Linked DNA regions of Arabidopsis thaliana. The protein of the gene in region 2 interacts with the protein of the main gene of each other region in a biochemical or structural test. Each region holds a gene or a part of one and is shown on either strand. Other genes may lie near its edges.

Evidence for each region. Proteins that work in one complex are often made in the same cells at the same time.
Region 1: the proteins of CBF1 (region 2) and ADA2B form a complex in vitro, tested with the Arabidopsis thaliana proteins (one study listed by BioGRID).

What each region holds. Positions count from the first base shown.
Region 1 is NC_003075.7:9,262,081-9,268,253, forward strand, and holds ADA2B (ADA2 2B), read right to left. Parts: upstream 4,078-6,173; 5' UTR 3,696-4,077; coding exon 3,646-3,695; intron 3,203-3,645; coding exon 3,147-3,202; intron 3,060-3,146; coding exon 2,887-3,059; intron 2,764-2,886; coding exon 2,698-2,763; intron 2,608-2,697; coding exon 2,482-2,607; intron 2,385-2,481; coding exon 2,309-2,384; intron 2,220-2,308; coding exon 2,171-2,219; intron 2,093-2,170; coding exon 2,073-2,092; intron 1,822-2,072; coding exon 1,602-1,821; intron 1,520-1,601; coding exon 1,309-1,519; intron 1,229-1,308; coding exon 1,004-1,228; intron 917-1,003; coding exon 725-916; 3' UTR 541-724; downstream 1-540. Other genes in the region: AT4G16400 (uncharacterized protein), read left to right, coding at 1-22; AT4G16410 (uncharacterized protein), read right to left, coding at 1-496; AT4G16430 (basic helix-loop-helix (bHLH) DNA-binding superfamily protein), read left to right, coding at 5,519-6,173. UniProt on the Arabidopsis thaliana protein: Required for the function of some acidic activation domains, which activate transcription from a distant site. The exact mechanism of action is not yet known.
Region 2 is NC_003075.7:13,021,253-13,024,804, forward strand, and holds CBF1 (C-repeat/DRE binding factor 1), read right to left. Parts: upstream 1,745-3,552; 5' UTR 1,311-1,744; coding exon 669-1,310; 3' UTR 528-668; downstream 1-527. UniProt on the Arabidopsis thaliana protein: Transcriptional activator that binds specifically to the DNA sequence 5'-[AG]CCGAC-3'. Binding to the C-repeat/DRE element mediates cold-inducible transcription. CBF/DREB1 factors play a key role in freezing tolerance and cold acclimation.

The DNA.
Region 1 (6,173 bases), 3.8 Mb from region 2:
CGATATAGAAGCTACCACCTAAGATGAGTAGAATGAGAATGGCGGAGATTGGGTTCTTGAGGAGCTCAAAGATGGGCTCAAAGACAGCAGAGAGAGCTCCAGTGCTAACCGTGAGAGCGTAAAGACCGTACCTTCTAACGTTGTCCCAAAACTCTTCCATTAAAGGACCTTCTGGTCCAAGCGCCATAGCTTTCTCTGCATCCATTCCCAATACCAAAACCATCATCAACCCTACAGAGACTCCACCAACCACAGCATATCTCCAGTGCCGTTCCAAACCCAGAGGAGGAGGTTGTGCTCTTTCAAGCTTGCTGTTTCTGCTACTTTTCGTAGTCAATCTTCTTCTGGCTGAGCCACACCGAACAAGACATGATGTTCTGTTCCTTATGCTTGAGCTTGGAAAAGCTAGAGCTGCTGCTATTGATCTGCTACTGGTAAAATGGAGGTGTGGTTGCAGACAAGATAGTCTCATTTTGGGGAGAGACATCATCGTCATCTCACTTCTTCCTTTCCTTGTAGGAGTCAGATTCTTTCTTATATACTAAAACATTTGGTTTAGATTGTGTGGCTCTGATTCACCTTATCTCTTTTCACAATCTGTGGATAACTTAATCGTTTTTCTATTACAAACTAATTTTGACAAGGTGTAATAAACAAGGGAATGTCAACAAATAACTCATTAGAGCTCACACATATATATATATGATACAACACTACACAAGCCTTAAAGTTGAGCAATACCCTTCTTCACAAGCATATCATAAACTCGATCCACTTTGGTTGGATCAATCTTGAAAAGGCTATATGCATCCGACTTCTTCGTTACATTCCCTTTGAATATCTCATGTGACATCACTTGTTGCATCTGTAGATAAACCGGTGGAACCAACTTGACCTCGCTGCAGAGACGCTTCTCCTGCAAAACAAAGAGCTTTCTTCTTTCAGTTACAACGACAGAAAACTCATCTCACACTGTTCAGTATCTCAGTTCTCAGACACTTACGGATTCAGACAGCAGTTGCGACTCCGTGAACCCAATCAAGTCCAAATCATTCACATAGCTTGAAGAAGCTTGCACAGGTGGTCTAGAGCCCATCTCCCCTGCAATTTGACCAAATTGACCGCTCTCTTTCCCTCTGTTCATCCCTTCTTCGTTTTCTCTCTTCCTCTTCCTTCCCAGATACCTCTCTGCTTCAGCCGTTGAACGACACCCTGCCACTTGAGCTTCCTGCTCCACCAATCCAACACAGTGAGCCACATCCAATCCAAGAAACCAAACGCACAGTTTGAGGGTAGCAATGTCCTTACCTTGAGATCTTTGAGCCGTTTCACCATGCGGTACTCGCTTACAACATTACGGAGTAGCTCGTCGTGCTCCTCTTTTGAATGAAAACGCATAAAAACGTCCAAACGTCGGCATTGTACTTTCTCCTCCTGAGACAGGTCCTTCTCAAAGGGATTTGGGTACAACAGGTTTCTTTCTATTATGAATTCTTTTCTACGTTTCCTCTCATCAAGCCTACAAACATCATACTCACCTGCGTCAGAATGGACAGCAAAAAGAAGAGACTTTGTTCCCCTTTTGATCTTAAATGTTGTACCTTTTTGAATAGATACGCAACACACGCAGCTTCAGTTCATGTTCTTCAGGAGTATCGTTCTCTTTGAACTCCATCTCCGCCAAGAGTTGCTCAGCATCATTGTCATATTCAGGGTCAAACTCTTCTCTTTTCTGGTTGTAATTACTCAGCTCAACCAAAGAGTTGTTTACCGAGGTGGAAACAGGTTTCTTCCCTCCAAAACTTCTGTCTACAAAAGACTCTAACCACAAAGAATGTCAAAACATAGAAAAAGGGAGAAAATATCTACCAGTATAAATACAATGACAAATATTGGGCCTTTTTGGATTTTAAAATTATGCTCAGTCAGCTTCTTACTTTACAAGTAGATGATTCCATTTACGCGATGGTTAACTAGATTATAACTACTGGTGTAAGCTAGAGCAAGTAAATAACAAAACGATAAGCACACCTATATACGAACCAGATATAGCATACAAAGCAAGAACTCACCTTTTTGTGTGTCTTCAACTCTGCAAGAAAATTGAACAAAAGATGAGAAAATTATAGGGTTATCACTGTACAGTACATGAGAAGAACGAGAAACATACTTGACTTTAGGAGGAGAGAACGGGTACTCTTCTTTCATGTTCTGCTCTGCTGCCAAAGAAGAAACCACTTCAAAATCAGAATTAAAATAGCAACACGTACAACGCAGAATCAAAACCATCAAGCAAAGAAGCGCATACCTTTCTTGTCATCAATGCGTCCTTTAGCCATGGCTTGAAGTTCTTTTCTGTTCTTCCCTGCTACATGTGACATATCCTGGGAAAATAAACGTTTCTCCTGAATTAGTTAATACCTTGCAAAAGGCTGGCACTACTGAGGTAGATAGGTATCTTATCAGATCGATGTAGCATACCGGAAGTGGGAAAAATGGTGAGTTCAAATAGATGTTTCTGTAGTGCTCAAGACACTGTTCTTTACTCTTCGTTCCCACGTGCTCCGCAACCTCTGCCCAGTTTCCCAAGCCATAAATTTCAAGTCCCTGAATAAAGACATTAAAAGAAATTACTTTTCACTGAAAGAATCAGACATTATAGACTTCATATCAGTACGATAAAAGAAGTAGTGGTACCTCCAGGAGAAGCATTTCATCATCCGCACTCCAGTCAGGACAAATAAGCGGGAAAGTTAGATTTCCCTAACAAAGCAAATGAAACATATATTAAGCTTTGGTAGAATTCAACCAAAAGATATTTTCGCTAAGTATAATGAATCAAACTCTTTCCAAACTAAAAGGTAAGAAAAGTAAATGAAAACTAACCATAACTCGGTATGGGTGATCACATTTGTGAGGAGTGATCTCTGCTCCAACAGACATACATTCTATACAGAGATCAAAATCTGGACAGACAGCACACTTTATCCTAATTTTTCCAGTAATGTCTTTCTGGCAATAATCGCAGTTATACTTCCCTCCTCCCTCAGCACCTGGTACTGTCTCCACAAATAAAAAATGTTGAGTAAAAGAAGAATCTTGACAGGAGAAACAAAAAAAAAAAACCTTGATAAGTATTTTTTTACCCAAAGAAGTAGACTCAAAGTTCTCCACATTAGCCGCATTTTTCTTTTTCCTCGTTCTGCAACAAACGCATAACACGATTCTTTCATGTCAGCTTCAACAGTGAAAAAACAATTACACAGATGAAAACAGAGAAGAGACTACATAGCTACTGAAAGTTTTCAAAAGCAACAAACTTTAAGCGATGCTCATTGTCCCAACTGAAAAATCAATGATTGTTGCACAAAGCAGATGCAAAGAAACTTCAAAATCAATCAATTTCAGCAGAAATTGGCACAATTACATAGATGAAGATAGAGGAGACTATAGCTACTGAAAGTTATCAAAAGCCACAAATTTGAAGCCATGCTCATTGTCCCAACTAGAGATCAATGACAATTGCACAACACAGACTCAAAGAAACTTGAAATTCAAATCAATTTCAGCACAAATTGGCAATTACAAAAGAGAAATCCACAAAAACCCCAAATCGGAAATTAGAGTAGTGAATTAGGAACAAACCTCTGAGTAGGGTCTTCGAAATTTTGGAAGTTCCCTCGAGAGCGACCCATTGATGCCCAAGTAGAAAATTGGATTATTGGGTTATGCGAAACCACAGAGAAGAAGAACCCTAGCGTAATGCCAACATGGGAGACTCACCGGAGAAGATGGAATGGGTACTTGGGGGGGTTTCGTGGAAGAAAGATCTAATCGGAATTCAACAAAACTCGGTCGAAATTTGTGAGGTTTTGGATCTCTACTAATATTATTCAGAAGTTCCGACCGAGAAGATTAAAATTAGGGAAGTCGAGGTAAAGGAAATTTCTAAGGCACTGTACTTTTTAGATTTTTTGGGATTAGACGGTCATGCTTATTACTAAAGCATATGACTTAAACTAAATTGACTCTTATAACTTCAACTTAAAAAACTATTATTTTTTATGTTAATTGTTGAATGGTGGTTGAGGGAAAAAAAAATGAAGAAAAAAAAGCTAAGATAGACCATTTTTATTGGTAATTTTTTATTATTAAAATAATAAAAATAATAAAAGGAAAAGAAAGAGAGTGTAGAATGTTTCTCGTTAAACTATGAAATACTTTATACAAACCATCATAATATTTTTCTCTTTTCAATTGGTTCGCTAAAATAAAAATTTAATCATATATAAAATTATAATAAAATACTAATATTCTTTTTGTTTGAAAAACTGTTTGGGTTTCTTCTTGATGGAGATGTCTTTAATATTTGGTTGGGTTATGGTTATTCGTTTTTAGGTATTTTGTTCATGGACATTTTCAGTAAATGAATTAGCAAGTAAATAAACTTGTATAGGAATAAATGGTTAGTGTTGTCACACACTATCGGAACAACATTATGATGTATTTTAAAATCTTATTGATGCTAATTTGAAAAATTGATTTGGAAGAAGGTTAAGCAAGGAAACAACCATATAAGATAGTTTGATGCTAATTTAAAGTTTCTTATTTTGGTCGAAAATCGAATTATTAGAAATGTTTGAACCTTTTTTATTAGACATCTAGTGATAAATTTTATAAGACTCATGTCAATCGAATAAAAATATCGAATTGTTGTTTTGCTGAACGAATAAGTTTGTCTATATTAGACGCGATTAGTTCTTCTAAACCACATTATCCAAAAAAATCGTGATTGACTACATGGTGTAATGATACCTATCATACCATCTCAAGAATATGGCATGACTCATCCAATTAACAATTGTATTTGCGCATAATTGTAAGATGTGTAAATTCCTTTTCCGCTTATTAACGGTGATTTGCGATAAGTTAATTCAGAAGACGAGTTTCGATTCTCCCATCATAATAGGTTGTACTACGAAATAATTTCCCAACATGTACACATAATCTCGACAAAAATCCAGTGATATGGGTTTACTTGTAGTTGAATAGATATTACACCACAATGACTTGTGGTTTGGTATGTAAGAAAAGGCAAAAGTATAGTTTGCAGTTAAAAAACTGAAGGAAATGATGTCCTTGGTATTAAATTACGATTAAACCCATATTCTCTCTCTCGCATAGTCTCTTCCTCTTTTCTTCTTTCTTCGTCAATTTCAGAACAAGTCACTACAGATCTGAAGTGAACCAAGCTCAGGTTTTGTCTTCTCTTTGATCATTCCTTTCTCAGCAATATAAATTAGAGTTATATCCTTTATAAAGGATTTTGCTTTTTCACCAACAAACCCTAAATTCGGTGTCTCAGCAAGAATCACGTGATTCTCGTTCCTCTTCCTCACGAAACCCATCATCTTCTATCTCATTTGTAAGCAGCGATCTCAATCCAAATACCTTTAATTTTATTTGATTCCATACCCTAATTTTTGTATATTCCATGTCAATGAACGTTTCAGGAGAAATGGGTCAAAAGTTTTGGGAGAATCAAGAAGATCGAGCGATGGTTGAATCCACCATAGGCTCTGAAGCTTGCGACTTTTTCATCTCAACAGCTTCAGCTTCCAACACTGCCTTGTCCAAGCTTGTCTCACCACCAAGTGATTCCAATCTCCAACAAGGGTTACGTCACGTTGTTGAAGGATCTGATTGGGATTATGCTCTTTTCTGGCTAGCGTCCAACGTTAATAGCTCTGATGGTTGTGTCTTGATCTGGGGAGATGGTCATTGCCGTGTCAAAAAGGGTGCTTCAGGTGAGGATTACTCTCAGCAAGATGAGATCAAAAGACGTGTGCTTCGCAAGCTTCACTTGTCGTTCGTTGGTTCAGATGAAGATCATCGTTTGGTGAAATCAGGAGCTCTTACTGATCTCGACATGTTTTATCTGGCTTCTTTGTACTTTTCCTTTAGGTGTGATACCAATAAGTACGGTCCTGCTGGAACCTATGTGTCTGGGAAGCCTCTTTGGGCTGCAGATTTGCCTAGCTGCTTGAGTTATTATAGGGTTAGGTCTTTCTTAGCTAGGTCAGCTGGTTTTCAGACTGTGTTGTCTGTACCAGTGAATTCTGGAGTTGTGGAGCTTGGTTCTTTAAGACATATTCCAGAAGATAAGAGTGTGA
Region 2 (3,552 bases):
TAAAGAGTGAAGTGACGCGACACGTGGTACGAGACTCCACAGCGAGCCACGTAAGGGGGGACAAAGAAGAGAAGGTATGGACAATGGTTTCCGCGGTCGAGCCACGCTTTCAGAATTCTGATTGGCACTGGGTTATCTTGTGGAACCCATCTGAAAGATATTTTTGGTTGTCGTACGGATTTGTTTATTTCGGGTTTGTTGAATTAGTTTGTTTCGGTTTTATACACTATTTTAGGAAACTTTTTTTTATATTCTTTATAGTGAACTGGGCTGAATTTTTTTGGTTGCTAGATTCGAGACGAGCCAATTTATGTAATATTTTGTGGCTTTCTGTTGCTAAATTGTAAGATCTGTAACTTACATGAGATAGAATAAAATAATGTAATGCAGGTTTTGTGGCATATTTACAAACATCATCCACGTGTAATGATCTGTCCACATATTTTGCCTTGAAAGCAACTACAATATGACTTTTAATATCTTTTTTGTTAAATATTTGACTTTTAACTTATGTGAAGCAAAGAAGTAGAAAACGATTTGTTTTGTATTGAATTATTTTCCACTCGTTTCTACAACAATAAAATAAAATAAAATGAAGGAACCATTCTAAAAAAAGGAACTAGAATATTTTCAAACTATAGTACAAAAATGGAAACGACTATCGAATATTAGTAACTCCAAAGCGACACGTCACCATCTCCTTCGCCGTCATAATTATGATTCCATTGAACAGACGGCGGCGGTAAAAGCATGCCTTCAGCCATATTATCCAACAAAGTCGGCATCCCAAACATTGTCTCCTCATCCATATAAAACGCACCTTCGCTCTGTTCCGGTGTATAAATAGCTTCCACCATCGTCTCCTCCATGTCCAGGCCATGATTCGTGGTCGTCGTATCACACGTCTCATCTTGAAAAGCCAACGCCGCTTCAGCAGCCGCTTTTTGGATATCCTTGGCGCATGTTGACTCCGGGATTCGTAGCCGCCAAGCCGAGTCAGCGAAGTTGAGACATGCTGATCGGCCACGGAGGGCTAATGCAGCGACGTCGTGAGCACGAGCTGCCATCTCAGCGGTTTGGAAAGTCCCGAGCCAAATCCTGGTTTTCTTGTTTGGCTCTCTCACTTCAGAAACCCACTTACCGGAGTTTCTTTGACGAACTCCTCTGTAAATTGGGTGACGAGTCTCACGAAACTTCTTACGGCCCGCCGGTTTCTTCGGACAACTCGTGGCCAACGTCGGACAATAATCTCCGCCTTGAGGCTCGTAATCGGAGCCAAACATTTCAGAAAAAGCTGAAAATGAGTTCATTGATCAGAGTACTCTGTTTCAAGAAACTGGATAAGGTTTAAGTAGTACGTAGTTACTAGAGTTCTCAGTCTTTTTGGATTAATAAAAGATAGTATATCTGTCTTGGTAAAGCTATTTATATCTCTCTCTCTTTTTTTTCTTTTCAGGTAGATTCTTTTTCAAGTGTGTAGTTAGTATAAAAAGTGAGAGTGAGAATTGGTGTTTATATTGGCCGGAGGAGAGATAACGGATATGTGGGGAGCACACGGAGTTTTTGTCTCTGTGAATGACACGTGTATAGTACATAGCGAAGCAATCCCACGATGTTCCACTCGCTGTCTGACGTGTGTCCTTTGACCCTTGTAAAGAGACTTTTGACTCTTCACTCGTTAACCTTTATGAGTTCTTTAAATTCTATCGAGTGTGTGCCTGTGTGGTTGGCTGGCTGCTGTTGTTACAATCGTTTTTAAATTCCTATGAATAAACAAATTGTCATTAATTGTCACCCGTCTATAACATAATAGACATAAATATCTCTGTGAAATGATATTTTAAATACTCATGTAGTATTTGTATTGGAAGTAGATGTCCTAATATTTAACCAAAAATAATACTACAATATAGAAAAGCTTGATTTTTTAAAAAAATTAATCAGATTTGGTAATGGATAATTATCAATTTCGATGGACGGTTAAAAATGAGTCATAAATGCATATGATGAACAAAATTATTCAGTTTAAACAAACTATAACCAAAAACATGTAAATGGACCAGGACAGGACTAAGCGAAGGATTAGACCAATACAAAATAGCAAGTTATCTTGAATCCCAATAATTCCCACAAAATATCTCAATCTCAATAATAGCTATATTGTATTGACAAAAAAAAGGTATAAAAAATCTTCACAATAAGATATGCATGAAATATATTCGCTGACAAAAATATCTCTCTCGTTACCTCTCGCTCTCACGTTATTGACATTTAGGAGAAAAGAAGACACAACAAAGAGGGAAAAAAAGAGTGGTAAGGTGAAGAAAACAACAAAATTGGCTTTAGTGGAAAATAGAAAGTAAAGCTTGAGAGTGACGTATGGGGCCAGTGAAGGCTGGTGGGGAAGGTAGGGACAGTGTTTCCGCGGCCGAACCACGGGTTTAGAGGATTTTGACGTCCCCACGCATTATCTTGTGGAACCCATCTTTCTGTTTTTGGAAAATCGTACGGACGTTCGTTTTTGAATTATTTGCTGAATCGGGTTGTTTGGGTTTCTACTCTGTTTTGGGATTCTTCAGTGGATTGGACTGGATCTTTTGTAGCTTTTTGTTGGTAGATTTGAGACGCCTCTATTTTATGAATATCTTAATAGCTTTTTGTTGCATATTCAAGCGAGATAAGAAGATAATTGAGGCTTTATGGCATATTTGAAAAGTCGAAACTCGTTCTCATTCCACGTGTGATGATATGTTCGTGGCCACATATCATTCGGCCTTGAAAGCAACTACTAAACTCTTAACATAAGTGAAGCAATCCAATGAAGAGGAAAACAATTTATTTAATTAATTGTAATATATAAATATACACATTTCTTTATAACAACAATTATTAAACTTACTAACAAACTCATATGTTTCATCGAATCCAAAACTTGACATGTGGGATCTTGAGAGTGTTAAGTTGCAAGACTTTTTAAAAACTTGTATGCATTATTCATTGTGTAGATGTTATGTGATACATGTTCTAGTTCTATTAATCAGTATATTCTAATCAAAATTAAAAAATCTAATATTTGTTTGTCTTCATAATCTGTTATTGTTTTGTTTTTTTAGAAAGCAGCTTCAATTTTGTTTACTTGTTGGGCTTCTTATAATTTGTTTAACATATAGGCCCAATACTCCTAAAAAGTAGACGTTCTCGACTTCTCGTCCTTCAGACAAAATAAGAAAGTCAAAATGTGTTCTGAAAAAAATATCTTTGAAACTAAAAAGAAAAGAAAATAAAATAAAAATCCAAATGATCTCTCTTGCCTTCTTTATCTAAATCGTACCTAACTCTGTTTTCAGTTTCACCTATCTCTCGACGCGAGCTTCTTCTTCTTCTAGGGCTTCCACGCGACTACGCCTGCCAAAATCATTCTACAGGTAAATTGATGCAGTTTATTCACTCTCTATATCGTCGTGGTTCTCATCTCCTTCTTCCTTCTTTTTTTTTTGGTTGGTGAAAAGTAGAACAAGAGAATTGGTCCATCTCGTTTTTTATAAGTTGAAT